7 linked regions of the Rattus norvegicus genome follow. The protein of the gene in region 5 interacts with the protein of the main gene of each other region in a pairwise test. Links are inferred from orthologs where the notes say so. Each region holds a gene or a part of one and is shown on either strand. Other genes may lie near its edges. The genes, in order: Trip6, Fam221a, Adamtsl4, Egfl7, Hoxa1, Spry1 and Fbln1.

The links.
Region 1: the proteins of Hoxa1 (region 5) and Trip6 interact in a two-hybrid assay, tested with the Homo sapiens proteins (2 studies listed by BioGRID and IntAct). The two-hybrid records come from large-scale screens. The link is inferred for Rattus norvegicus from reciprocal best matches to the Homo sapiens genes HOXA1 and TRIP6.
Region 2: the proteins of Hoxa1 (region 5) and Fam221a interact in binary tests that used the Homo sapiens proteins (3 or more experiments, as listed by UniProt). The link is inferred for Rattus norvegicus from reciprocal best matches to the Homo sapiens genes HOXA1 and FAM221A.
Region 3: the proteins of Hoxa1 (region 5) and Adamtsl4 interact in binary tests that used the Homo sapiens proteins (3 or more experiments, as listed by UniProt). The two-hybrid records come from large-scale screens. The link is inferred for Rattus norvegicus from reciprocal best matches to the Homo sapiens genes HOXA1 and ADAMTSL4.
Region 4: the proteins of Hoxa1 (region 5) and Egfl7 interact in binary tests that used the Homo sapiens proteins (3 or more experiments, as listed by UniProt). The link is inferred for Rattus norvegicus from reciprocal best matches to the Homo sapiens genes HOXA1 and EGFL7.
Region 6: the proteins of Hoxa1 (region 5) and Spry1 interact in binary tests that used the Homo sapiens proteins (3 or more experiments, as listed by UniProt). The two-hybrid records come from large-scale screens. The link is inferred for Rattus norvegicus from reciprocal best matches to the Homo sapiens genes HOXA1 and SPRY1.
Region 7: the proteins of Hoxa1 (region 5) and Fbln1 interact in binary tests that used the Homo sapiens proteins (3 or more experiments, as listed by UniProt). The link is inferred for Rattus norvegicus from reciprocal best matches to the Homo sapiens genes HOXA1 and FBLN1.

The regions. Positions count from the first base shown.
Region 1 is NC_086030.1:25,021,738-25,025,758, reverse strand, and holds the start of Trip6 (thyroid receptor-interacting protein 6), read right to left. Parts: upstream 2,801-4,021; 5' UTR 2,652-2,800; coding exon 2,543-2,651; intron 2,295-2,542; coding exon 2,167-2,294; intron 2,073-2,166; coding exon 1,947-2,072; intron 1,695-1,946; coding exon 1,311-1,694; intron 713-1,310; coding exon 619-712; intron 523-618; coding exon 353-522; intron 1-352. Other genes in the region: Slc12a9 (solute carrier family 12 member 9), read right to left, coding at 3,525-4,021. UniProt on the Homo sapiens protein: Relays signals from the cell surface to the nucleus to weaken adherens junction and promote actin cytoskeleton reorganization and cell invasiveness. Involved in lysophosphatidic acid-induced cell adhesion and migration.
Region 2 is NC_086022.1:79,674,743-79,678,242, forward strand, and holds part of Fam221a (protein FAM221A), read left to right. Parts: intron 1-22; coding exon 23-213; intron 214-2,069; coding exon 2,070-2,276; intron 2,277-3,500.
Region 3 is NC_086020.1:185,932,997-185,937,121, reverse strand, and holds the start of Adamtsl4 (ADAMTS-like protein 4 precursor), read left to right. Parts: upstream 1-1,325; 5' UTR 1,326-1,641; intron 1,642-2,209; exon of another isoform or gene 2,210-2,316; intron 2,317-2,415; exon of another isoform or gene 2,416-3,520; intron 3,521-3,583; 5' UTR 3,584-3,775; coding exon 3,776-3,795; intron 3,796-4,125. UniProt on the Homo sapiens protein: Positive regulation of apoptosis. May facilitate FBN1 microfibril biogenesis.
Region 4 is NC_086021.1:29,812,049-29,815,466, forward strand, and holds the end of Egfl7 (epidermal growth factor-like protein 7 precursor), read left to right. Parts: intron 1-93; coding exon 94-221; intron 222-323; exon of another isoform or gene 324-400; coding exon 401-496; intron 497-648; coding exon 649-813; intron 814-1,101; exon of another isoform or gene 1,102-1,219; intron 1,220-1,370; coding exon 1,371-1,435; intron 1,436-2,004; coding exon 2,005-2,167; intron 2,168-2,283; coding exon 2,284-2,306; 3' UTR 2,307-2,918; downstream 2,919-3,418. Other genes in the region: Agpat2 (1-acyl-sn-glycerol-3-phosphate acyltransferase beta precursor), read right to left, coding at 3,379-3,418. UniProt on the Homo sapiens protein: Regulates vascular tubulogenesis in vivo. Inhibits platelet-derived growth factor (PDGF)-BB-induced smooth muscle cell migration and promotes endothelial cell adhesion to the extracellular matrix and angiogenesis.
Region 5 is NC_086022.1:82,586,410-82,590,338, forward strand, and holds Hoxa1 (homeobox protein Hox-A1), read right to left. Parts: upstream 2,801-3,929; 5' UTR 2,703-2,800; coding exon 2,054-2,702; intron 1,568-2,053; coding exon 1,212-1,567; 3' UTR 96-1,211; downstream 1-95. UniProt on the Homo sapiens protein: Sequence-specific transcription factor. Regulates multiple developmental processes including brainstem, inner and outer ear, abducens nerve and cardiovascular development and morphogenesis as well as cognition and behavior.
Region 6 is NC_086020.1:122,483,985-122,488,258, forward strand, and holds the start of Spry1 (protein sprouty homolog 1), read left to right. Parts: upstream 1-1,474; 5' UTR 1,475-1,515; intron 1,516-1,929; 5' UTR 1,930-2,218; intron 2,219-3,966; coding exon of another isoform or gene 3,967-4,021; coding exon 4,022-4,274. UniProt on the Homo sapiens protein: Inhibits fibroblast growth factor (FGF)-induced retinal lens fiber differentiation, probably by inhibiting FGF-mediated phosphorylation of ERK1/2. Inhibits TGFB-induced epithelial-to-mesenchymal transition in lens epithelial cells.
Region 7 is NC_086025.1:118,266,972-118,270,465, forward strand, and holds the end of Fbln1 (fibulin-1 precursor), read left to right. Parts: intron 1-1,265; exon of another isoform or gene 1,266-2,064; intron 2,065-2,123; exon of another isoform or gene 2,124-2,309; coding exon 2,310-2,449; 3' UTR 2,450-2,994; downstream 2,995-3,494. UniProt on the Homo sapiens protein: Incorporated into fibronectin-containing matrix fibers. May play a role in cell adhesion and migration along protein fibers within the extracellular matrix (ECM).

The sequences.
Region 1 (4,021 bases), on a different chromosome or scaffold from region 5:
TTCCTTAGCTATAAATACCTAAGAGTTTCAGGCCAGCCTGGGACACACGACGTATTATCTCAAAACGACAAACAGGCAATCCAAGAAACAAAACGCAAAGTGTTCTTTTGGTTGATGGATCAATCGATCTTCGGAAACCTGTGCCTTGGGCTGGCTTCCAACCCGCTTCCGTAGCCCATGTTCTCCTCCAGACAGGCCTGAGCCACCATACTTAGTTCATTGTACCTCAGCTTGAATCTCCAGCTTCCAGGCCCACCCAGCTGAGTACCTGGCCCTCTCTTGGATAGAAACCTGCCTGTCAAATCTTGACACTCCCAATTTGGCAACACCCTCTCACAGCCCAACCGCTCACCACATAGCAGCTCTCACAATACGCCCGCCTCTCCACGGCATAGAAGTGCTGGCCTCGGAGCTGGGCCCGACAGGTAGAACACACGAAGCAACCAGTATGGAAGACACGGTCCAGGGCCACAACCCCAGCTCCATCACCAACCACATCGTCGCCACAGCCACCACACCGACCTGGGGACAGAGGGGAACAAGATCAGTCTCCACAGACCCAGGACACCGGATCCACTGTCCCCTCCCCGTCCCATCCTACCCAGCGGGTCAGCTCACCAAAGTACTCCCCACTGGGCGGGTGGTTCATGTCATGCACCAACTTCTTGGTCAGTCTCTCCAGCTCCTCCTCTGGAGGCTGGCTCAAGGGGCCCTACAGGGAGAAACAGGGCTTTGCAGTGCTGCTTCGACCTCACACACCGTAAGTAACCCACAAGCTCAGGAACCCTGAAATTTCCTCTGAGAATATCTCCCAGGCTGACAAGGGAAGGAAGCCCCTTCCCTTTGGACATCGTAATCCTTGACCTCTAAGTACCCTAAAACCACAACTGACTTATATTTATTTTTAAGAGCGTGTCTCATATGGCCTAGGCTGGCCTTGGACTCATTATGTAGCCAAATATCTTAATTTACTGATCCTCCTGCCTCTACCTCCCCCATGCTTTGTTTATACAGTGCTGGGTCTAGAACCTTGGGATTCCTACATAATAAAAAAGGACTCTACCGGGGTTGGGGATTTAGCTCAGTGGTAGAGCGCTTGCCTAGCAAACGCAAGGCCCTGGGTTTGGTCCCCAGCTCCGAAAAAAAGAAAAAAAAAAAAAAAAAAAAAAAAAAGGACTCTACCAACTCTCTACCAACTGAACTGCGTCTCCTAAAAACGGTATCTTAATCCCTCAGCCTCCACACCACCTAACCAACGGCCAGTTACCTACAATGACCAGGTACCACCGTGCCCACACCCCCTGGCTTACCTGAGGCTCATGCCCACCTCTTCTTCCTCCTCCTGCAGGGTTATGAACTCCAGCAGCTCCCTCCTTAACCCCTGGTCCTGGCTCTCGGTGGCTCCTATAGCCAGCTCCCCAGACTTCACCACGACCTGTCAGAGGAAAGTGGGGGCCTGGAAGAGGTCCAGAGGCCTGCGAAGCCCCCCGCCTGGGCAGTCCACAGCCTCTCACGGGTTGAGCCACCTTCACTTGAACAGGGAAAGCAGGACCAGCTGGAGTGCTCGCGGTAGCATAAGAGGCTGGAGTAGGTCCACCATAGGGAGATGCTGGGAGCATCGGGGCTGGAACAGCACCTCCGCTGGGTTTCAGGGAGCCTCCACGGTAAGCATGGGGTGGAGGAGCCTCAAAAGCCTGGGAAGACAAACAATGCACAAACAGTAAGGCCAGATCCAAGATCCATGCGCGCCAGGTGGAATCTCGGGAGCCATGACTTTTGTCAAGTTCCCATGGGTTAGGCCTAACAAGAAGGAAGTTCATGATTCCTTGAACCAGTTATTTATTAGTTGCAAAGAGGGTGGGCGGAGAGTGAAGAGGGCGGACTGAGGCTGAGAATCTACAAAAGAGAATCGGCTGACACAGGAGAGACAGAACACAGGAGATCACCTGTCTGTCTGGTCGCCTAGGTGCATGACTGCGACTCCCGTCCAGATCAGCCAGCATGCTGGTGAGCGAATCTATCTCAGCGTCCAGACTTCCAGGGTGGATGACTCCCCGGTCTGGAGGGAGCCCCTGAGACAGAGCCAAAACAGGAAGAACAAATACCGATCACAACCCCTACCTAGCCTTCTCTCACCTTGATCCTACCCTCACCTCCAATTCTCACCTGCAGGCGCTGGGCTGCTCCATGGGATCCCACCCAAGTAGGCCCCCGATCTTCCGGTACCCCCGGAGGCTGATAACATTGTTCAGGTGGGAGGGGGCAAAAGTTGACCCTGGGGTGAGGCTGGAGCGCTAAAGGGGGAGACGGGAGGTGAGAGCGGAGAAGGGTACCCTGGTTAAAGCCGCCTTTCTCAGGCAGCTCTCCTTCACGTACCTGGGAGTCTGGGGATGGACCAAGAGTTAGGGAAACTTGCACAAGAGCAAGGGACTCTGGCTTGGGGAAGGGACAGCAGGAAGCAGATAGGCAAGGAAGAAAAGGTTAAGGAAAGTGGCCAATGGCTCTTCTGCCACTCCCGGGTGTGGGAAAGGGGAACACTTACTTGCTCCATGGGCCGTTGGCGGACCCAGGGTTCCTCTGGGCAGCGCTCTCCCCTGAGGGACTCTGGAGGGCTCTGGCTGCTTCGGGGGAAGCCAGGTGGGCCCGGACATGGTCTGGAATAGGGTTGCTCCACTCCAGACAGAGGTCAGGACCCCCACAAGCCCAGCGGCCGGGCCCTTGAGCCCCTTCCCTCCCTTTCGGCCCCACGCCCCGTTTGGGACTCCAGCAAAGAAACTTTTTCTGGCTTTTTTTTTCTTCCCTTCCTCCCCAATTTTGGAGAGGACCACGCCCCCTGACGTCACCACATTCCTGGTGAGGGTCACGTGGTCCCCCAAGCCTTATTCTACGATTCTTCCTTTCTCTGGCCCCCTCCTGTTAAGTGAGGACCGCCCTCCTCCGGAGCCAAGCCTAGGGTGGGCTGCAGGCCTCTCCGAGAGGCTCTGGTCCAGCAATTCTCTCAGATCCCTGCCCCAGTCCTGCACGTGGCAGCCTCTTGGCCGGGACTCTGAAAGTCTCCACCCCCTCATAGATCTCTCCCTTCCCACCCGGCTCCCTCTCATCTACCCACCAGCAGTGCTCCACCAGCCCATAGTGTTTTGGTCTTTTATTTATGGTCAGTAGTTAGAAAAATAAAACAAAACACAAACATCACCACCCAAGGAAGTCGGGGAGAGGGAGGTGGTGCGTCTGTGGCCAGGATGGGGACACTGAGGTAGCCTAGAGTCACAGAAGAGACCAGCCCCTCTGGTCAAGGCACCAGTGAAGGAAGCGTAGGCAGACCAGGAACAGGGCCGCAATGTCCTCCCCTACAATGGGGCAGCCACCTAGAATTAGTGTACTATGTCCATTCGCCACCCAAAGGAGACCAGGGTCCCCTTAAAACATCATCAAAAGGGCAGGGCCCATTGGGGGCGGGGGAGGGCGTCCCTTGTTGAGAATGGGCCTGGGCCCTCTCTATCTATCCAACACTGTATGCACAGGCATCAGAGATCAGTACAGGTAACCGGAGTGACACCATGAATAAGAAGGGTGGGACCCAGATCACGGCTTAGGGTCTCCAGCAGTGCCAGGTATCTAGGGTAGCGGGCAGGATCAGCAGGAGGTCGAGGAAGATACAGGAAGGTAAGGGCTGTGGTGGGTCCCTCCTCTCCATCCCTTCCTTCTGGTCCCCCAGGGCCTCCTCCTGTGCCTCGTCCCTGCTGGGCACGCACCAGGGCATTGGCACTGCAAGCTAGAGCCTCTGCCTCTTCGTCTCCTCGACCACCATTCACAAAGTCCCCTTCCTCCTCCTCAGGCTCCCCAGCCTCAGCCCCTTCACCCCACACCACCTCTTGCACCTCTGCCCGGATCCTGAGTTGACTCAACAGGGCCCGGAGCCTTCCCTCTGCTGCCCCAGGAGCCTCTCTGGGCCCCAAGCACAGAAAGATCCGGAGCCGGGCACTGTGCCAGGCAGGCACCATGCTTAAGATGGTAGCCATCT
Region 2 (3,500 bases), about 2.9 Mb from region 5:
TTTGTGTTTCAATCTTTTAAAGGTATAAGCAGCACAAAACTGACTTTGAAACGGTTCCCCAGCAGCGTCCCATTGATCTGCCCTGCCGAGTGACCGGTTGCCAGTGCAAGGCTTACCACTATGTCCCTCTGAACGGCACCCAGCCTATTCGCTGCAGGTGCAAACACTTCGCTGATCAGCACAGCCCTGCCCTTGGCTTCACATGCAATGCCTGTACGTTCCATTCTTAAACGAAGTTGCAGTGTTTCGAGTTCTTTATTAATACTTAATGGATTTTATGACAGTTTATCCAGTTATAAAGTCAGTATTTAGCTACAAAGCAAAATTCGATGGGTGGATATTCAATTCTTGGAATGTTTAAAGTTCAGTGTTGTAGAATTTAAATAATTTATAATAGGGACAGATTTTTAAAGAATTACTAGACACGACCTGATTATTATTATTTTATTATTTTTTCATTTTGCTTTTTGGAGACAGGGTTCCTTTGTGTTGCCCTGGCTGTCCTGGAACTCACTCTGTAGACCAGGCTGGACTTGATCTCACAGAGATCCACCTGCCTGTGCCTCCTGAGCTGCTGGGATTAAAGGTATGAGCCACTACTACCTGGCTCAAAAGTTGTTTTTTTGTTGGTTTTCAAATTTATTTTAATTTAATTTTATGCCTATGGGTATTTTTGTCTACATGTATGTCTGTGTACCACATGTGTACTTGGTACATGTGGAGGCCAGAAGTTACCCCGGAACTGGAGTTACAGATGGTTGTGAGCTGCCAGGTGGGTACTGGGTTCTTTGTAGAAAAGCAATAAGTGCTTTCAGCCATTGACCCATCTCTGATAAAAAGTTTTCAATAACAAGCTGGAGTGATGGCTCAGCAGTAAAGAACAATTATTGAACAATTATTATTCTTACAGAGGACCTGGGTTCAGTTCTAGCACCTACATGACACCTTACAACCATTCATAGGACAGACGTTGTGCACAATCATAATTTAGGCACTCACTCATACACACGAAAGTAAAGTAAATGAATCTATAAAAATAACAATGTTTCAATGAGAGTTTCATTAACCTGGTTCCTTTTTTGCTATGGTGGTTGATGTTGGGTGGGCACGGATCCCAACATCTCACGAATGCTAGGCAAGCCCACTGAGCCACACCCCCAGTCCCAAGTGAATTCTTTACAGACTTTTAATAAAAGGGATTTTGTAAGTTTAAAAAAAAAATTGCAACAACCTGACAAACAATTCGGATTTTCTGACTGTGGGTTCTCAGACAGCAAATTCTACATGTAGCAGTTCCAAATCCATAGACTGTGGAAACATTTCTTACTACACGTAGTCTGCATAAAAGGAACCCAACCTGAGCAGCAGTTTACTGACGGCAGTGGAGTAACCGTTTCATCCGACAAGCACGGAATTAGTTGTATAAAACCTAGGGCTTCGGTTCTCATCCACAGGTGTAAGTGGTGAGAGAAGGTAAAGATTTATGTTATACATTCCTGTCTCTGTTCCAATATGGCTGTTTAAAAAATATGCCTGTGTACATGACCCTGCTGCTGGCAAAGGCCAGAAGAGGGCATCAGATCCCCTGAAATTGGAGTTACAGACAGTCGTGAGCCACCATATGGCTGCTGAACTCAGGTCTTCTGCAAGAACAGTGTGTGCTTTCACCCTGCCGAGCCATCTCTTCAGCCAGTAGTTTGTTTGTTTGTTTGTTTGTTTGTTTGTTTATTCTTTTAGTGTCAGGGTTTTGCTATGTATACAGGCCTGGCCTGAGAGTTACAATCCTCCTGTCTCAGCCTCCAGAGTTCTTGGCTTACAGTAGTTCACCGCAGTGCTCAGCTTATTACATAGCTTTTGAGGAGAGAGTCTGCGTTTTCTGTCACTCCAGTTTTTAAGGCAGTGTCTTTTGGGCCCAGTTGGTTTTTGAAACCTTCCCCCCTTTCAGTGTTCACCCCTTAACTACTTCAGCATTCTGTAAGAATAACAGTGACTGGAGAAGGTAAATGTCCCAGCGTGGTGTCCCAGCTTAGCGCTTGTTCTTAACGTGTGCCCTTTGTGTCTTAACTCAGGCTCCAAGTGTTCAGGATTCCACAGCTGCTTCACTTGTGCCTGTGGCCAGCCCGCATATGCCCACGACACCGTGGTGGAAACCAGGCAAGAGAGGCTGGCCCAGGGAAAACCTGTAGGACAGGATGTTCCTTATGCGGCAATGGGCGGTTTAACTGGTTTCAGCTCACTGGCAGAAGGCTACATGCGCTTAGATGACAGTGGCATCGGTAAGTGAGGACGTGTGAGCCTGGCACGAGACGCACCAACAGTGACAGAGACTTACACTGACTTAGCATTTTAGGGTCATTTTTCTTTCAGAAAAATTTCCCTTACTTGGTTTTTCTTTTAAAAACTTGGTTGCACTATATAACATATTGTTATAGAAAACTGACAGAACACATGAGAAAAGGTTATTCTGTGACAATACCTACCCAGAGTCCCCATCCCTGTCGGTGAGAGGAGCTGCATGGAGCTTTTGTCTGATAAGACAGAATTACTTGTTACTTTACTGTGTGCAGCTTGCTGTTGTAACGCTCCTGCTTCCTCCCCTCCCCATTTTCCTTCTCTTCTCCCTCTTTTCTCATTGACCTACATCAAGTCCTTACAATGCTATGTGTACTAATACTTTTATTTACTTTGCAGATATTTTCCCCTTTATGCTATTAAGAGTTTTATTGTAACACTAAAAGTGTTATTCTATTCTTATTTATGTGCCTGTGTTTCTGTGTGTATTTGGGTGTTCAGGTCCTTGTAGGGCTAGGAGAGGGCATTAGATCCCTGGCGCTGCAGTTACAGGCAGATGTGGGAGCTGGGAACACAGCTCTGGTTCTTGGAAGAGCAGTAGGCCCTCTCTCTCAGGACCTGTCTTCCCAGCTCCCGATGTTAAGATTATGTTTAAAAAGCTTGTAACTAGGTTTTTATTCCACTTTTTAAAAATTTTTTTTCTATTTTTTAAAAATTTTTTCCATTTTTATTAAATTGGGTATTTCTTATTTACATTTCAAATGTTATTCCCTTTCCTGGTTTCCTGTCCATCAGCCCCCTAACCCCTCCCCCTTCCCTTCTTAAGGGTGTTCCCCTCCCCATCCATCCCCCATTACCGCCCCCCCCCAACAATCCCCTTGATTCCACTTTTTACACTTTGTTTTATAAATGTACTTCTCTGTCTTCACTTTATCTTAATACATAATTTCTTTTTTTTTGTGATGTTGGGATTTACTTTTGTGAACATGTGAGATACTATAATTAAGTTTTTGTGCAAATTGATGCTGGTTATACAACTGGCATCTTTTTCTCAAATAACTGGGGACACTGTCATATTCTGTCATGCTTGTTATGTGTATGCTAGTAGCACACGTACTCCATTTCTCATTGTATACTTTGATATTTGACGTCCTTCCTGTTTGTGTTCATCTGTCAAAATTACAATACTTTAACATATTTTCTCTTTT
Region 3 (4,125 bases), on a different chromosome or scaffold from region 5:
TAACACCTTAACTCCAAAGTGGCCATTTCCACTGGCAGGATCTCTTCAAACTAGACTTGGAGCCTTAAGAATTTAAACAAAGTACAAGATATATCCAAGAAACCTTAGTCTGGTGCACCAGGGGCCTCTTGTTTTACGGGTTGCAAGACAATGTTGCCAGAACTTGTGTGTTGAGTGTTTGGACATTGGTGGTGAGCCTGGCCTTCAGTGGCTGAGCTCTCTCTCAACCCTTGCTCGGGTACTTCATTGTTGTTGAAACCGAGATGATCTCACTTTGTAGCCCAGCTTGCCCTAGAACTTGCTGGGTTTCCCAGGCTGCCCTTGAACTTGCAGTAGTCCTCCTCTCCTGCCTCAGCCTCCCAAGTGCTAAGATTATAAAACGTGCAATACTATGCCCTATATGTTCTCCCCACTTCCCCCTGCCCCAGCCTTGGCTGGAATTCACCCTGTAGACCAGGTTGGACAGGCGTGGCACAGGCAGGCCTTTAATCCCAACACTGCAGAAAGCAATGGCTGGCGGATCTCCGTGAGTGGAAGGCCAGCCTGTTCTACACAGTTCAAGTCAGACAGAGCTACTGAGACCCTGCCTCAAAGAAAAACAAACAATCTTAAAAAAAAAAAAAGACGTATAAATAGAATGTGAATAGAATAAAAACCGAAAGCCGATTTCATCCCTTCTCCACCCCTCCTCAGTCATTCTTCCACAGGGAGATGGATAAACATCTAGCACACACATCAGATTCTCCCATTCTACAGACGACACTGCCGCACTGACGTCGAAGCGCTCATGAAAGACCACAGAGCTGGCATGTGCTCAAGCTGAAATTCAAATCCAAATTTGTCTGACTCATAATGCAGCGTGCATTCCTTCCGCTAAGCTCCAGGGTGTAAAATTTTATGGATGAAGAAACCGAGGCTCACAGACGTCCTGGGCCATCAGAGCCACATGGTTCACTGCCCAGTATGGGAAAAGCGGAGGCGATGGCATTGGCTGCGTGGAGGAGAGAGCCTTGGCTTGGGCGGATCTGAGCTTGCGCAGGACCACAAGGGTCCAGTTTGCAAATCCCCTTGCTCCGGGTCCGCTGCTAGCTCAGGTTCTTCGAGGACAGGCTCCACCCAAAGGCTGCCCTTCCAGAGTCGGTGGGGTCCCGAGCCCCCGGGTGGGCGCGGGAATGGTGCCTGCAGTGTGACTGCATGATCTTTAGCTGTCCCGGGCGCCCGGGATGGGTGGTTGAGGCCAGCGCGTGGCGGGCGGGGCACGGGTGGCGTGGGGTGGAGCCTGCCGCGGGCGGCGCTGTCCCGGGGCTCCGGGCCGCGGTGGCCACCGGAGGCAGCTGGAGAGAGCGGGCGCAGAGAAGGTAGAGCCTCCCTGACCCCCGCCTGGGCTCTGACTGTCTTAGAACAGTAGACCCTGAGGCGAATTCCTGGGGAGGGGGTCTGGTCTCTGGGACTCCAGGTCCCATCACCCGGGCGAGGGCTTGCGCCAAGATTCCTATTAAGTCACATAGTGAAGTTGGAAAACATAACCGGGACCTCCCTACGCGCTGGCGCAGCCGGCTCTTCCCTGAGGGGCTTCGGGAGGATGCGCCCCGACGCCTGCACTCTGGGATCGCAGGGATAGTGTGTCCAGGAGGGATGCGGGTGAGTGAGCTTTGCACAGCTCAGCCTGTTGTGAGAGGTTGAGGGAAAGGACACCTGTTGGGATGGTTTGCAGGGTGGTGGTGGTGGAGATCCCGTGAAAACCCAGGCCTTCTGACAGGACAACATCTTTCCTCTGCTAGCCCAGCCCTTACTAACTCCATACTCCTCCCCCAACCCCGCATTGGCTCATTCCCCCCCCCCCCCAGGTGAACCTGGGGTGAAAAGGTTAGCTCCCTTCAGGTCACTTCCCTTGGTGTCACTGGCCCAGAGGGGGTGTGACCAGGAGCAACATAGGTTTGTATTCAGCCTAGGTCCACCCTGCTCATCTCCAACCTCAGGGTCCACCCTGCCCATCTCCGACCTCTGTCTTTCTCACCCTGGGCATGAAAACGGGACAACCAGCATACATTTGTGCTGGGAGGGGGTGTCAGCTCTTGCCCCCCTAGGCGGGGGAGGGTGGGGTGGACTTTTCCAGAGAGGGAGCCAGGCCTGGCCCCAGCCCCAGGAGCTCTCGTCCCCCCCCCCCCCCCTCACTTCTCCAGAGAGCTGCCAAAACCAGCTCAGGACAGGATTATGTGTACTGGGTAGACCACGGAGAGGCAGCAGGGACAGACCTGGGGGAGAAGAGAGGAGCAGAGGGAGGTGGAGAGGGGACCCGCATCGGACAAGAGACAGGTTGTGTTCATCACCCCTTTTTTTCCTTCCGTCCAGCCTCCCAAGGCAGGCATAGGGCTGATGGGTGGGTCTCTTCCATCAGGGAAGTGGTGGACTCTGTGGCTGCCCAGCTAGGGGAAGAAGGAGAGGAGTGCATTTTACCTCCTCCACAGCCCCAAGAACTCAGCTCAGCCAATTGGATCCCCTCCTCAAATTCTCATGTCCTGGGGTCCCAGGGAGGGGGAGTGGAACCTAGCTGTGCCTCCTCTCTGACCTTTGCATGCCCTGAGCTGGCCTACTTTGGCCAGCAATCCTTGGATTCTTCTCATGGTGCCATTCAGATCCAGCAGAAACAGTGTTTTTCCTGGAAAGCAGAACTAAGATGGGGTGAGGGCTGTGAGTAGGCAGGGCCTCAGCGAGAAGGAAGGGGCTGGGGCTGGGGGTAGGGAGAGACATGGTTTGAGGACAGGTATAGAAGCCCCCCACTACCCAGTGTTTACAGCTAGACTTAAGGGTGGACTTTCCAGGTATACCTGAAGGAGAGCCTCAGACGCATGGGCTGCTATGAAGGCTGCATCTCTCCTTAGGTGCCCCAGCCATTTTGGCTGAGCATTGTAAGAGAAAAAAAAAAAAAGCAGAAAACTAGTACATGAGCTAAGTCACCCTGAGCCAATGCCTTGTGGATGCTGGCACCCATTGGGAGAATAAGTCACTGCCTCTTCTCAAGAGATGAAGCTATTAGCACTTAGTTTATCCCTTGGACAAAAAAAAAAAAAAAAAAAAAAAAAAAGCTGTATGACACTGTTCCTCCATAAGGAGCTTAGTTAAAAGGGGAAGAAAAGAAAGACTGGGGCGGGTAAGAGAGTAAGAGAGTAAGAGGGGTAAGAAACAAATGCTCTTGGGTTTTGTTAGGGGGAGGAGGTTGATTTTCAATTTTTTTAGCTAGAGGTCCCATGTCACTCAGGTTTGCCTTGAACTCCTGCTCCTCCTACTCCCCCCTCCCAAGTGTGGGATTATGGCTTGTGCCCCTACCCCTGGTACTAAGAGGCCTCTGGCTGGCCCCTCATGGGTGCCTGGCATAGCCTGTCTCCTCTAGGACCTGGAGTATTAGGAGAAAGAACCTCTAGGTCCAAGCTGCCTGCACACAGGCCCTCTTCCGGCTTCCAGAGGAGATAAGTCCATCTTGGGCCACAGGGAGGAGACTCAACTGAACTGAGAGGCTGAGGTCAGACCCCCACCCTCTCCTCAGCAGATGACAAAGACAAAGATCCTTTGCTTCCACCCTTAGGTCCTAAAGGGGTGGACCACTCCTCCCCCACCCCTCCAGACTGTGGGTGTTGTGCTGAGACAGCCCTTCAGTCCCCCAGATATCTGCAGGGGTAACACCATGCTCCTCCCTCCTCAGAGCACCCTCCATCCCTGATGCCAGAGTAGCTACCCTGTCCCTTCTCCCCAGCCCAGGGGCAGTCACAGGAAGAGCATGGAGCTTTGGCTGGGCAGGTAAGAAACGGGTAGCAGTGAGAGGAACGGCTCTATCTCTGATACTTAGGGCAGGGAAGGAGCTGGGGGTAGTGGTGCACACCTGTAATCCAAGCAGAGGCAGGTGGCTGCCTGTGAGTTTGAGGCCAGCACTGTCTACAGAACAGAGTTCCGGGACATTCAGAACTGTTACACAGAGAAACACTGTTTCAAAACACACACACACACACACACACACACACACACACACACACCCGGGTGGGGGTGGGGAGGGCTCAAGCAAGCTCAGGGACCGGATTGCTGGAAGGGGTCTGGCGAGTGACAAGGGACTCCTGCTTGCTGAGGAGCTGG
Region 4 (3,418 bases), on a different chromosome or scaffold from region 5:
CAGATGATATAGGCAGGGTGCATGCTTTCCAAGGAAGGCTTGGCTAGGGTCACTCCACATTGGACTTCTCTGAACTATACTTACGCACCACAGAACCATCTACCGGACTGCCTACCGGATTGCCTATCGCCATAGCCCGGGGCTGACTCCCAGCAGGCCTCGCTATGCCTGCTGCCCTGGTTGGAAGAGGACCAACGGGCTCCCTGGAGCTTGTGGAGCAGGTAAGGGGCAGTGTGCACTGTGCCTGATATGAACTTCACTTCCCACTGCCCAGCAGTATCCCTGCTGCCTTCTACCCCTCAAGCCATGCATCCTTGCTGCAGGGCAACCCTTCCCTGGATGCCGCAGGGTTCTGGGAACTCCCCTGAATGGGTGACAGACAGGCCTCTCCTACCCACAGCAATATGCCAGCCACCGTGTGGGAATGAAGGGAGTTGCATCCGCCCAGGCCGCTGCCGCTGCCCTGTGGGATGGCAGGGAGATACTTGCCAGATAGGTAAGCCTCACTCTTCTTGAAGGGTCTTCTTGGTGTCTTGTGTATCCTAGGTTACTGCCGGCTGAAGCAGGTTCTCACCGATAGGTGGATCTGAACAGGGCTCTGTGGTCAGGACCTTGGCTTCTGTAGAGTGACACCTTCGTTTCTTACAGATGTTGATGAATGCAGTACAGGAGAGGCCAGGTGTCCCCAGCGCTGTGTCAATACTGTGGGAAGTTACTGGTGCCAGTGTTGGGAGGGGCAGAGCCCATCTGCAGATGGGGTGCTCTGCCTGCCTAAGGAGGGGCCCTCCCCGGTGGCACCAAGTCCCACGCCAGGTAAACTTGTCTTTCCGACCTGCGGTGACTGGCCTGGATAGTGAGCACTGTTGTGTGGTTGAGCTGAGCATGGAAGCTACAGAGGGCAGCTAGCCCTGGGTGGAGGCCAGCACTATGCTGAGGGCTGATTCCAGATATCCTGGACTGGTGGGGGGAGGTTCCTCACCTGGGTGGGAGGGGCTGCTTTCCCCTGAAGAGGTTTCCGGAAGGTATTGTGGGGCGGAAGGCATAGCTGGGAGCCTCACCTCGACCAACTGAATGAAAAAAGAGCCCCACCCTGACTCTGGCAGCCTGGAGCCGTGTCTTTGCCGGTGACAGCACATTATTACTTTTGGTACGCGCTGTGACACTTCAAACTCGTACCGTGAGTAATAATGCGTGGTCAACAGCGCAGCACCGGGAGTGCATCGGACCTGGGTAAGGACCATTGTTGGCACTCAGGGTGGCCAGAGAGGCTTTGCATCTCCAGACTCTGCTTCCACAGCTGTGGCCGAGGACTCAGGCCTCTGTGGGACAGGAAATCCCCCTCTCTGACTAGCGCCTGGATCTGCCCCCAGGAGTGGACAGCGTGGTGAGAGAGGAGGTGTACAAGCTGCAGGCCCGGGTTGATGTATTAGAACAGGTGAGGCTTGGCTGGGAGTGGGTCTTGCTGGTGTCCCCAGTCCCCAGTCTCTGGAGCTGTGGTTCCAAATCATGGGGGGCTGGGAGTTTTATGGGGAAAAGGTCGTAAGGATGCTGGTTTTTTTTTTTCCATTTTCTTTTCTTTTTTTTCGGAGCTGGGGACTGAACCCAGGGCCTTGCGCTTGCTAGTCAAGTGCTCTACTACTGAGCTAAATCCCCAACCCCGGATGCTGGCTTTCTTACTGTGCTAGGTAGCACTGTATGGGATTCCTTAGTCTAGGGCCCACTTAGATTGCTATACAAGGACTCTGGTAAGTCTCAAGCCACAGACCCCAAGACTCTCCTAGTTCATCTCTGGGGTCCCAGGTCTTTGTAGCTAGATTGTGGATCTGTTAATCACCTGTGTCTACTAGACGCTGGGGTCCCTCTATTGCAAGCAGGGCCCTGCTGCTACAGCCCAGTAGAAAGAAGCCTTACTTCTCACACATGCCCTTACTAGTCTTCCTTACGTTCCCAGGGAACAGAGGTCAAAGAGGTCACTAGGCTTTTTGCAACCTTCCTTTCAAACAGAAACTGCAGCTGGTGCTGGCCCCACTGCACAGCCTGGCCTCTCGGTCCCCGGAGCATGGGCTGCAAGATCCTGGCAGCCTGCTGGCCCACTCCTTCCAGCAGCTGGACCGGATTGACTCACTGAGCGAGCAGGTCTCCTTCCTGGAGGAACAGCTGGGGTCCTGTGAGTCCCCCAGATCCTAAGGAACCCATTAGGGGGATACCAGGGCTGGGTGGACGGCACCACCACTGGGATGGGCAGATCTGAAAGTTTATACCCTCTTTCCTCTCCTTCCCTAGGCTCTTGCAAAAAAGACCTGTGATGGCTTCTCAGTGCCCATGTTGGATTGAGCTGTTACCCCTACGTCCCTTCTAGCCTGAGTTCAAGTGCTGTCCGGTGGTGCCTGTGAGCAGAAGGCCCTGCTTGTTTATCCCTCTCTCTTAGGAGGTTCCTAGGCCCTGGGCATGGGGAGGGGGGTCTTGTGTGGCTCTTAAGTGAGGCTTCCGGGAAAGGAATAAGATCTCCCTGCCTAAGAAGTGAGGTGGGGGCTGTCTCCACCTTTGTCATATTAAAGCTGGGACTTGAGCTGCTGTCACTGGGTGAGTCGGACTGTGTACACACTGTACTACTGCCATGTAGGAGCTGCAGTGGGCAGTCCTGAGGCTCTCTTCAGCCTATGCTGATGCTGCCAAGCCCGTGGTCTGCACACCCTTCAGTTCTGTGGACCCTGCATTCACTGAGCAAAGCAATGCTGGCTGATCACAGCTCACCTGCAGGCAGTTAGGGAGGAGGGAGCTCAGACACCGCAGCCCCAGGGATCGATTCACACACCATCTTTCCCACCCTTCATCCCTGGATGGGGACTTGGGAAGAACTCTTACCACCCTCTGGTCTCTAGGCACTTCTGAGTTCATTTATAAAAAAAAGAACCAAAGTACAGCAGTGATTTGTGACTGAGGCCGTCAGACGGTGGGGGTGGCAGGCTCTGCCCTCTGGTGCTATGTGAACCGGCTTCCTTGAGACTGGAAGACCAAGTTCCTCCTCTTCATGATGGCCTGATACAGGCCACTGCCTGGTTCCTGAATGTTTGTCCTGCATGATGGGGTGGGCCTTGGGTAATGCGTTGCCCATTCCTAGGTGCCTCGTGGTCTTGTGGGTCAGCCCTCTTGCTGGATTCTGGAGGCACAGGCTCGAGATGGGAAATTACATAGGGTCCTGGGTTTAAGGCCTATGCCAGAAGGGGCTTCCTGATTCCAGGCCCCAGGGAGAGCCAGGCCAGCACGGGAGCAGGCTATGATGATGCTTGGTAAGTGGGAGGCTGCGGCCTTCTGTCCACTCTTCAGCCTCTGCTTCCCATTGGTCTTCCCCCAGCTCCCCTGGTCCTGTAGCCTGGGCTACTGGGCTGGCAAGACCCCAGACTCCTTAATGGTAGAG
Region 5 (3,929 bases):
TTTGAAAATGAACACTACCCTCCCTTCCCCACATGAAATGAGCCAATGTAAGCAGACACTGTAGCCCAGCCAAATACGCAAGATGCTTAGGCATACCTGAAACTTGAATATTTTATTACAGACATCTTAAGTAAGACCCGTAAACTCTGCTCTGGACCACGTCACTCCAGGATCTCAGAGCTGCTCATGATTGTACAGGAAATGGGGACTATCTTAGGCTCACAAAGGACAACTGATAGAACTCAGTGTGCTATTTCAGGGAGGTCAAAACATTGTGCGACATGCAGAAGACTATTCACGAACCACACAAAATATACATTCGTTGTGCCATACATCACATTAACAAACAATTAGCTGAAAATACACTTGTCTCCAGCCAAGATACAAGATACTGTGAAAAGAAAGGGTGGTTGAAAAGAATTCCTTTAGGTTACAAATAGTCCAGCATAACTTTTTTAAATGCAGGGTGGCCAGAGAAGCAGGAAGAATTGGTTAGAGTTTGGGAAGACTCGGCACAGGAAAGGTTCTGAACCTTGTGCTTTGTAGGCCTAAACTCTGAAAGAACCAACCAAGGCCACCTTCTGAAGTATCTGACTCAGAATGAGAGAGGTTTTCTCCTTTCACCCATAATCACACATGGCCTGTGCCAGTTTTGAGAATTTGTCCACCCTGTTTGATTTAGTGACTTACATATTTCTACGAAATGTGTATAAAGATAAATCTCTGAAGAGAAAGCATTCATACCCAGCAATCAAGGGGTGAATTGTGTAAACATGGAGCATCTCTTCCTCATGAGCCTTTGGACACCCTCCCTCCTCTATGTCCTACTTAAAGGCCAGGTGGAGCAGAACAATACATAGATACAAAGGCGAGACACCTCCCTTCTGCAGATATCTGTTGGCAAAGGGAACTGTTCTCCAACGGACAGTAAAGGAACCATAGGTTGTGTAAAAAAATCTCAAGACAGTAAAGAAAGGGCGTTGGGGACCATCAGAAATTGATGTGGGCACCTGGTATAGAATAAGGAGTTAACTTCCAACCAAGTCTCCAGAATTCTCTGGAAATATCTTATCTTAGCCAGGAGCTCCCCAGATGGGACCAGAAAGGAAGAGAGAGTCTGGAAAGAAAGGAAGATAAGCTAAGAATGTGCTTTGGGTAAGAAATCTCAGCCCAGGGAGAAGCCTGGGCTGCAGAGTTGGGCTGGGGCAGCCTCAGTGGGAGGTAGTCAGAGTATCTGAGGTAGATGATGCGGGAGAAGGGGCGCTGGGCGAGGAGCTGGATTTCTCAGATGATTCTTCAGTTTTCTCATCGCTTCCAGGAGGGGTGGCGGGTGAAATGGGCAAGAGCCCCTCTTTCTCGCGCTTCTTCTGCTTCATGCGGCGATTCTGGAACCAGATCTTCACCTGGGTCTCATTGAGTTGCAGGGACGCGGCTATCTCCACCCTGCGGGCTCTTGTTAGGTACTTGTTGAAGTGGAACTCCTTCTCCAGCTCTGTGAGCTGCTTGGTGGTGAAGTTGGTGCGCACTGCGTTGGGTTGACCCACGTAGCCATACTCTCCAACTTTCCCTAGGGTAGAGGAGGAAGAGAGAAAAGATAAACATTCTTAAACCTTTACCCCAAACTTGAGGCAATATTCAGTAAACTGCTCAGCGCAAACCCTATCAGGAAGCGCCAGTGACTAACGATGTTGTAAGTAAAGTGTTAACCTGAAGTCAGCCATTAGCGTGATCAGGCTCGTGATTAATGGAGCCTGTAGATATTAACAGGACACCACTACCACCTCCCACCCCAACACACACACACACACACACACACACACACACACACACACACACACACACCATCTACCTTTAGACCACTTAAACCTCAGCCCCTTTGAAACTCCTTTGCCTCAACACACCTGGGCACCCTACACCACCCACTACAACTCTAGACGACATTAGACATAAGCAAGAACCTATCTTTTAAAATCATTAATTTTCCTAGGAAACTAGGTGCACCGGCCCCTTTCAAAAACTGAACAGCATTTGTTTGCCAGCTGGCAGGACTTACCTGTTTTGGGAGGGTTTCTTTTAACTTTCATCCAGTCAAAGGTCTGCGCTGGAGAAGACGTCTCTGAAGCAGGGGAACGACAGGCTTCTTGGTGGCTGGCGTGGAGAGGGGATAAGGAGTTATTATACGTGGCCAGGGCCAGACTCTGGTGCTCTTGTCCATATGAGTGGTGAATGTACTGGGGCGAGCCCACTGTGCCCCCAGCATAACCCTGGTGGTGGTGGTGATGCTGGACCATGGGAGACGAGAGGTTTCCAGAGTAAACAGCGGGAGCGCACGGGGGGTACCCACCACTTACGTCTGCTTCCTGATTTAATCCATAGGGGCCATAAGGCGCACTGAAGTTCTGCGCGCCATAGCTTGGACCACAACTCGAGTGGGAATAAGAAACCCCAAGGTTCCCAGAAGTCTGGTAAGTAGCCGGCTGGGGATGGTGATGGTGGTGGTGGTGGTGATGGGGCGAGGTGATCTGCACCCCCCTGCCCCCTAGGAAGCGGTCGTCGCCGCCGCAGCTGTTGGCACTGACCGCGCAGGATTGGAAAGTTGTAATTCCATGGTCAGAGGAGTAAACTCGCGCCGAGCAGGTCCCAGAATCGCCACTGCCAAGGATGGGGTATTCCAGAAAGGAGTTCATTCTTGCATTGTCCATCTGTCACTGAGTGACTGGGTCCTGCGAAGCCCTGGGTGACCGTGCCAACTTTCTCACTTCCTCCATAGGACCAGAGAAGAAAAATGATATGAATGTACAGTGCGCAAGAGGCGGGGCGGGCAGGCGGAGGGCTCGAGGGGAAGGACACGTGACTCTGTCAGCCAATGGCTGAGCCGCCTGCGAAAGTTTACCGGCGGCGGCGGTGATGGATCACCGTTTCAGTGGCATTTAAATCCCCGGCGCTCCTCAGTGTAGGTGACGCGCGCTCGCCCCCCCAGGCAGCCCGGGCCGCGGCGGTAGCTACGGCCGCTGCCGGAGCTGACTTGGAGCATTGGGACTAAAGGGAGCCGAGACTGACTTCTGCGCGCGCCCGGCTCTGCGCGCCTCCGCCTCCAGAAGTGGGGGGGATGGGAGGCACCCTCCGCGGCCCCTTCCCCACCCAGCCGAGAGAACTGAACAGGCAAGAGGTGAGAGGGGATGAGGCCTCCCGGCTGTCTTGTGGCCGGCATCTTGTGGGCTGAAAATCTCTGCGTGGTCGCAAGGACCCTGGCGGAGCTGGGAGCACACGGGGTGGGAAGGGTGGGAATCCAACAAACACCACGCCCTCAGCTCGGGGACTGCCGCCAGGATCCAGCCCCAGCAGAGTCCCGAATCGCGGCGCCTAGGGCGAGGTTGCGTCACTGGCTCGCCAGCCTCGGAATGTAGAGGGACGTGCGCAGACGATTGACTGGGAGGAACCCGGGTGAATGTGTTGGGGACCAGAGCAAGAAAAGAAACTTCTATCCTCATCCAGAGGGTCTCAGAGCCCTCTTCCCTGATTCCTGCTGGCCAATGGCATAGCAATGGGAGCTTCAGTAATTCGACCCCGGGGCCGTAGGGGGCGGAGGGGGTCGGCCCTAGGAACCTAGCTCTCTGGGAAAGGCCGAGTGTTCTCTCTCTCTCTCTCTCTCTCTCTCTCTCTCTCTCTCTCTCTCTCTCTCTCTCCCCCTCCCTCCCTCCTCCTTCCCTTCTCCTTCTCAGTCAGCTTTGCTCGTGGTAGCCTGCAAGATTCGGAGCAACTCTGCTGCTGGAGTTTGAGGGGTAGAAGGCAGAGGAGAGAGTTGGCGCCAGCAGACGTGGCTGGCGTGGCCGAGCCTGAGCTGCAGGCCATCTGCCGACTCTTTGAGACTCAGAAGCTTGTTCACTCTTAATATAGGCCTCAGAGGGCCAGATCACAGTCAACTCCTA
Region 6 (4,274 bases), on a different chromosome or scaffold from region 5:
CACACACACACACACACACACACACACACACACACAGAGAGAGAGAGAGAGAGAGAGAGAGAGAGAGAGAGAGATCTACTGCAGAAACTTCCTTAGGCTGCTACATCTACAAGATAGAAAAGCCCCACCAACTTTACACTTGAAAACATGTCCTTAACACATCCCCTTCCATGAAGGGTGAACAGGCAGCTTCTTGGCTTTTACTACATTTTGTTGCCTTCTAGTGCACTTTCTTGCGGCTGCTGTTCTGTGTAGGGAGTGCCTGGGTTCCTTGCATGTAATCCCACGCATAATTGTGAACACTAAAAAACATTCAAAAGCTTGGAAATGCAGTATGCCAATGGTCATAAAAATGTTTATCAAAATCCACTGCAATTGTTAAGACTTTAAAAAATTACTTTGAACCCAAACTATCCAAACTCCCGTTCACAGGTGATTTAGATCATGGAGTTCTGTTGTTGATCAAATACTGTTCCTGATAAAAATTCCCTGGAAAATTATTTTCCACTAACAATTTTTGAGGCCTTAGGTTATCTTTAAGATAAGCTTCGTGGAACTTTTAATTTCACATACATTCCTTTTCACTGCATCCTGAGCTATATCGTCCCCAGAATACATGTCCAAATTCCTTAGTTTGTAAAGAAGCGAAAAGCATTCCCTGGCTTACTAAAGTCCCCCACCCCGTGACAGACATGTGACAAAAGTTAAAACTTCCTGATGAGTTATGCTTATTTTACTAGATTAAAAATGTATTGGTGTTTTTGACAAAATTATACAAACATTACAAAACAGGAAGGAATTGGGTTCCCCCTCCCCCATGTAATTTTAGGGATCAAATCACAAACTAAATGAAGCAATCACTAAAACCCCACAGCAGGAATTTCCACTCTTCAGTGTGTAATTATATTGCATTTGCAGAAGTGACTGTCCTTTCTGGAACTTTCATATTTCGCATGATCTGTACTTCACACATTTTCCCTCTGTCTGGGGGCACGGTGGCATGGTGTACACGTTTTTTCCGTTGTTGTTGCTGTTTGCTTGTTTTTGCTTTTTAAATGTTCTTCACAACTCTTTTTAACTCAATTCTAAGGGTGAATCCACCAGTCCCCTTAAATCGGAGGCTGACAGCTCAAGACTGACAGGGCCCCTGAAACACCGGGTACTCCCCTGTTGCGCTTGCAGGATTTCTGCAGGCAATCAACTTTTTAAGAGCGTCCTCGAGTCCACATCCACGATCGCTAAAATCCTGCTCCGGGTTTTCGCGCAGCCCGCGTGATTGACACATGATATCACCGGGGGCGGGTCCCGGCGTGGAGGTGGAGGTGGCGGCGACGCTGAAATGCTGCGGAGCCCGCGCGCGAGTGCTCAGCACGCAGGGGTTTGCGGCGGCCCCGCAGCCAGAGCTCTGCGGGCTGAGGAGCTGCTGTGGGCGGCGTGCATGTGCCGGGAAGGCCGGCCCCAGGCTCTGCACTAGGTAAGAGCCTTCCCCTCCCGCCGAGGACCTGGCGAGATCAGGTGAGAATGGTGCTTTATTTTATTTTATTTTCTTGGAACTGGACGTTTTCTGAGCTGGCTCTAGCTCTGTGCCCGGCGCTCTACGGTCGGCCCTGAAGCGAGTTCCGTAGCCGGGCAGCGAGTTCCGTGTGTGCGAACGCGGGCTGGCACCGCCGCGCACCCGCGTGTCTGTGCGCATTGTTGGCGACCGACCCGCCGGGCGCTCGTGCCAGACCTGACTTTCCCCGTCCCTGCGTGCGGGCTTGCCTCTCGCAGACGCGTCGTTGGGACGCGCTTTTGACTGCGGGGCGTTCCGTGGGGGCAAAACGTGCACGGCCGCGTGTGTCCGGAGCTCGTGGCTGTCTACCACGGCGAGCAGGACAGCGTCCCGGGCTGGCGAGGGACTCACGTGTTTCTGTCTCTGCTCGTCTGCAGCCGGCGTGGCGACTGCGGGGACGCGGACCTGCGGGAACCCGAGAGCCCGGGACGACGCCGGGCCGCGCGCCTGACGACCGGGACGGGACGGTGCTGTGGAGCGGGCGCCGCGCGCACCCGGCGGATGTCCCCGAGCCGCCCTCGGCCGCCGCCAACCGCGGAGAAGCGCCCCTGCCCGGGGGCCGCTGAGGCCGCAGCGCGGGCCATGCGCGCCCGGCCGCCCCGCCGCGCTTGATGCGGCGCGCGCTTCGCCCGCTCCGCGCCCCCGGCCGGCGCCGTGGAGGCCGAGGTGAGTGCGGGCGGCAGGTGCGGGCCGGGGCGGGCCGGGCGGTCCTGGCGGTCTTCGCGCAGCCCGTGCCAAGCGCGCGGCACCCGATGGCGCTGGGGATCCAGCGCCCGCCTGTGCTCGGAGCGCAGTGCCGCGGGACGCGGGGAGAGGGCGCTGCCTCCTCCCGCCCGCGAGCTGTTTTCATTCATAACTTTCCCCCGCCGGACCTGCCGCGGCTGGGTGCCCCTGAGGTCTCGGCTTGGGGCCCAAGCGCCGGGCGGTGCTACCCACAGTGCTGTCCGCGCGCGCGCTCCGGCTTAGCTCTGGGCGGTTGCGGGGCGCCTAAGTGCTCCGCCTGAGCGAACTTGCTTGGGAATGCCCTGTAAAAATGCGAATGAAAGCTGTGCCTAGGGGTTTCATAGCTCAAACAAGCCGTTCCCACGTCTTCCTTTCTTGTGGATGAGGCTTGGCACATTTAAAGTCTTCGTTATGGAGTTTTAAATTTTTAAAAAATAGATAAGGCACAGAACGATGGGCAGGTTTCCGGTATCGTTTAGGAGTTCGGCACTAAAACTTGCTATGGATGTGTTTCTCGTGTGCAGAGAAGGTAGTTATAAGCTAGAGGGGCCTCCAAAAAGCTAACACATTTGTAGTCTAGGGGCATTTGTTAGTAAAGTGACTTATTCCTTAAGACTTTTTGTTTTGTTTTTGTTTTCCTTTGGATACCAGGAAAGTGCAGAGGGTTCCTTCTTGAATTAAGGTGCATCAATCTATCTGTAAGTTCGGAAGGCATTTGTGTGAAAAATATTCCAGAAACCTATCGCCCAGAAACGGAAAGAATTTGGTCTTTTTTTAGGAAGAATACGTTATAAGTAGGGAGTTATTTCTTCTTGACATGGAAACGTGTTTGTTGTATCAGTGTATCAGTATTTATTTTACTACAAAAAGCCGGTCTGTTCAGGGCTTATGAAAATCAAGGCCTGTCATGCAGGTAAATGAAAGGAAATACATATATTGTAAAAAAGACCAGGGTTCCTCTCCCCGCTTTAAAGGGCTGACACTGTGCATAACTTACCCTTGTTGTGTGGCGGGTGAGCCTTTAACGCCACACCGTAAGGGTTGCGTACGTGTGCCAGAGCATTCCTCGTTCTTTGTAGCTTCTTTTGCCCATCTCACAGATGTGTGTGGTGAGCTAGCCTCAGACCCTGACTTCTGCTGAAAGTGACCTTTGGAGATTCCGAGTGAGCTTGGAGCAGCCAGTGTTTTGGAAATTGGCCTTGATTAATTTTCTCATTAATCTGAAGCTCGTAACAGCATATAAACGGCCAAGAGGCCACAGCACTAAAACCATTCTTAATCTTCTAAAAAGTAGCTGACATTTTCCCTACGTGAACTGCCAGTGAACTGATCGTGAACTCTGAGAACAGTTCCAGAGCGCACACTGAGTGCTGCCTTCGAAGGCATATTTCATCTTAATTATTTGTTAGGTTTGCAAACAGGAAGACATGACTTCCTCTGCTTTTCAGAAGCTGGAGAGCAACTTCTAATTTTTAAGGCATGAGGTCTTTGCTTTCTTCCTGTGATACGGTCCTCTACAATCTTTTCTGGGAGTTGGACTCTGGCCAGGATTCTGCATCATTGGAATCAGCCGACGAAGGAGATCTTTACCATGTGGCTTGGGAAATTTGTTTCTTGACAGAAGCCCTTTCCCCCTCCCCCCCCAAAAAAACCGCTTTCTGCCGCTTATTTTCTCTTTCACTCTTCTTTAGGATTTCAGATGCATGGCAGATTTCCGCTGACTGCTGGAATTGGAGATCACTCCACATGGATTCCCCAAGTCAGCATGACAGCCACACTTCACTAGTGGTGATTCAGCCACCGGCTGTGGAAGGCCGGCAGAGGTTAGACTATGACAGGGACACCCAGCCTGCCACGATTCTGTCCCTAGACCAGATCAAAGCCATCAGAGGCAGCAATGAATACACAGAGGGACCTTCGGTAGCGAGAAGACCGGCTCCTCGAACTGCACCAAGACCCGAAAAGCAGGAAAGGACTCATGAAATCATACCAGCCAATG
Region 7 (3,494 bases), on a different chromosome or scaffold from region 5:
CCAGGAAAGTGAACACTCCATCCTCCTGTTCTCACATTCCAAGTGGCTGAGATTGCAGGCCTGGGCCCCCAGTTTGTTTGGTTTCTGGTTTTGGAAATTGCTGGGTTTTATGTCTGTCCACAGAAAAGGAATTTGAGACTCAGAGCTGTTAAGTAACTCCTCTGACTCAGGTCGGCCATCGCTCAAGCTCAATCCCTGTGCCCCACACATGAATTTTCACTTACTTTTCTGACCCAGACCCGCCTTCTACAACTACCACTGCATTCTCTACATTCTTTTTTAAAACCTTATGTTACACACACACACACGCACACACACACACACGCACTCACGCACACACGCACACTCAGATTATCAGGTTAGTGTGCCAGTTGCCTTACCCACTGAGCCATCTCACCAGCCCCCTCTCCACTCTTATGTATTTCAATGTCAGGCACCTACCACATGCCCTGCCGTGGCTATGTGTCTGAACTGTGGACCCTGTGGGGAGGAATGCTCACTCAAATAAAATAGATTGACATGCATGGCAACCTGTAGGTGTGACAGTATGATCAACATATAAATACTATGTCAGAATGAAACTATAACATGGCCCTTATCAATTTACATTTTATGCAAGTTAGGCATGGTGATACATAGCTATAATCCCCAAAAACGGGGTCCAAGGGTCAAGAGTGTTAGGTCATAATCTAATGCATAATTTGTTTAAAGCCAGCCTGGGCTACATGAGACCCTGGTTGAAACCCACTCCCACAAAGAGATAAGGCTTTACGATGTCTATGTTATATGTTGAAATCTTATATGTCATTATATACAATCAATTATATATATGTATGTGTGTGATATATATATACACTATTTGAATGAAATATATGTTATATAAAATACAATATTTATATTTTAGAAATTAAATCTCTATTTGTATATATGCATGGGAGATCAGAAGAGGTTTTGTATCCCATGGAGCTGGAGTCATATAGTGTTTGTGAGCCACTCAGTGTGGGTGCTAGGAATCAAGTTTGGGTCCTCTGCAAGAGCAGTATCACTCTTAACCATTGAGCCATCTATCCTGTCCCCATAAAACTATATTGAGGGGCTGGGGACTTAGCTCAGTGGTAGAGCGCTTACCTAGGAAGCGCAAGGCCCTGGGTTCGGTCCCCAGCTCCGAAAAAAAGAACCAAAAAAAAAAAAAAAAAACTATATTGAAATACTGCTTAGTGGCGAGGAGGCGGGATCTGATCAGAGCTTGAAGACATTTATCATACCACTGTCCTGTAGCAGATCACAGGTTCATTGGCCTCTCACGATAGCATGAGTAGCAACTTTTTAGCCATGGGCAGAGTGGTAAGAACACCCTTGCTCTCCAGTGGCTAATGTCACAGTTGCTGGCAGACAGACACCCTGTGGGCTTCGGGCCTACAGGGAGGAGAAGTGTCATGTATGGATTCAAAGGAGCTTTGAGAATCTTACGGGCCCAGCCAGCATTGTGACCCCATCCAACCTGGCAGGCAGACCCAGCCCAGGGAGGGGCCCAGTGGCAGGCAAAGGGTGACGAGCCTTTGACAGAAGCCATATTTGCTTCTAGGCCTTTGGAGGGACATGGTCGCAATGCTGTGGCCATCATGGGTATGAGAATGGGGTGCTAACTGCCTGTGGAGGTCTGTAATGCTGGGTTCCCAAGTTAAACACAGGTTTGCTTAGGGAGAAGTCTATGGGTGATATGTGGGCAGATGGCATGCTGGAGAATCTAGATAACATGCTGCAGGAGGTCCAAGGGCCTGTCTTATAGGGACTTGGGACTGCTTCTCCTGGAGAAGGAGGTTGAGAACCCACCCTTGTCTTCAAAGATCTCAGGAATCAGGAATAAACTATTGCTTTTCTTCTTCCCAAGGTCCCCGTCTAGGGTCTAAGAAGGAAGGACGGAAGGAGAGAAGGCTCAATTCTATTTCAGGCCTTTTCTGGGGCCTTTGAACCCCCATTAGACAAATGGTAAAACAGGAAACCGGAGTTCCCCACAAGGGCAGGTGCTGGCGCTGCCCCAGACCTGCCGACCCCCAAAGCCACACTCGCTGCTTCCCTCCTATTTGAAGCTATGTGTGACAGAAGGGAGGTAGTGAGCTCACCTATCCCTAGTGACTGGAAACAACCCAGAGTGACCAGGTGGAAGGAGATGGTTACCCTGGTGATTCAAGCATCTGCCTCGGGCTACCACAGTAGCCTCGAAATTCCCGAGGAAACCCCTTTCCCGGATACCCATGTTGCTGCGTGCCTGCTGACACCCAACAGGATGTCTTCTGCTCTCTCCCCAGGTGTCGTGCGCCAAGTGCGGCCCATCGTGGGCCCATTTTATGCCGTCCTGAAGCTGGAGATGAACTACGTGTTGGGAGGCGTGGTTTCCCACCGGAACGTCGTCAATGTGCATATCTTTGTCTCTGAGTACTGGTTCTGAGGACCGGTTTGCAGCACGGCCAGGAGTGTACCCCTCCGCCTGGCCACGCCCTTGCTCCCAGTGACTGCCAGGTGCCTGTCTGTACCCCTCGGGCGTTCCTTGGTGTTTCATGTTGGTTTGTAAGGCCACATACATTAAGCTGAGCCACGTCACTTAAGTCCAGCTGACGTACTGTGCTGTTTAAACATTGCTCAGTCATGTGGTTAAATCCTTGCTTTTTTTTTTTTTTTTTTTTTTTTTTTTTTAATGCAAAGGTCGAATTTTATTCTCTTTCCCTGCCTGTGGGCTAGGCAATGCTAAGGACCAATTGAAGGAGTTTTCAAAGCAGCGCTCCACCCAAGAGCCAAGAGGTAGCCCTTCTCACTGAGTCTGCTTAAGGGGTGACATTTTGGTACATATATATATATATATATATATATATATATATATATATATATATATATGAATATGAATGAGAAAAACCAACTGGGCTCTGTGTGCTTCAAACTGATGGCTGCTGTAGAGCGGTGCATAAATAAATATACAATAAATTCTCCCCAGAAGCAGCTCACAAGCATGCCTCGGGGGCACCTAGAAAGTGGATTGCAATTTTGTTCAAAGGAAAGCCCTTCGGTAAAGATGTGAGCTGCAAGGTTTGTGTGTGGCCTGGTATGGCTGTGGGGGAGGCTGGTGTGTCCCTGTGTGTCTCTGGGGGTAGCTGGTGTGTCTCAGTGTATCTATGGGGGTGGCTAGTGTAGCCTTCCTTGTGTGTCCATGGGGGTGGCTAATATGGCCTCATGTTCAAGGATGTGGCTGATGTGTCCCAGTGTGACCATGGGGGTGACTGGTGTGTCCCAGTATGACCATAGGAGTGACTAGTGTGTCCATAGGGTGACTATTGTGTCCCAGCAGGTTCATAGGGGTGACTGGTATGTCCATAGGGGTAACTGGTGTGTCTAGTGTGTCCATGGAGGTGGCTGGCTTTCTTTGTACCCTAAAGCTACCTTTCCTCACAAGGGTAAACAAGCTTTTGTGATCTTCCTAACAGCCTACTACACACTCTCCA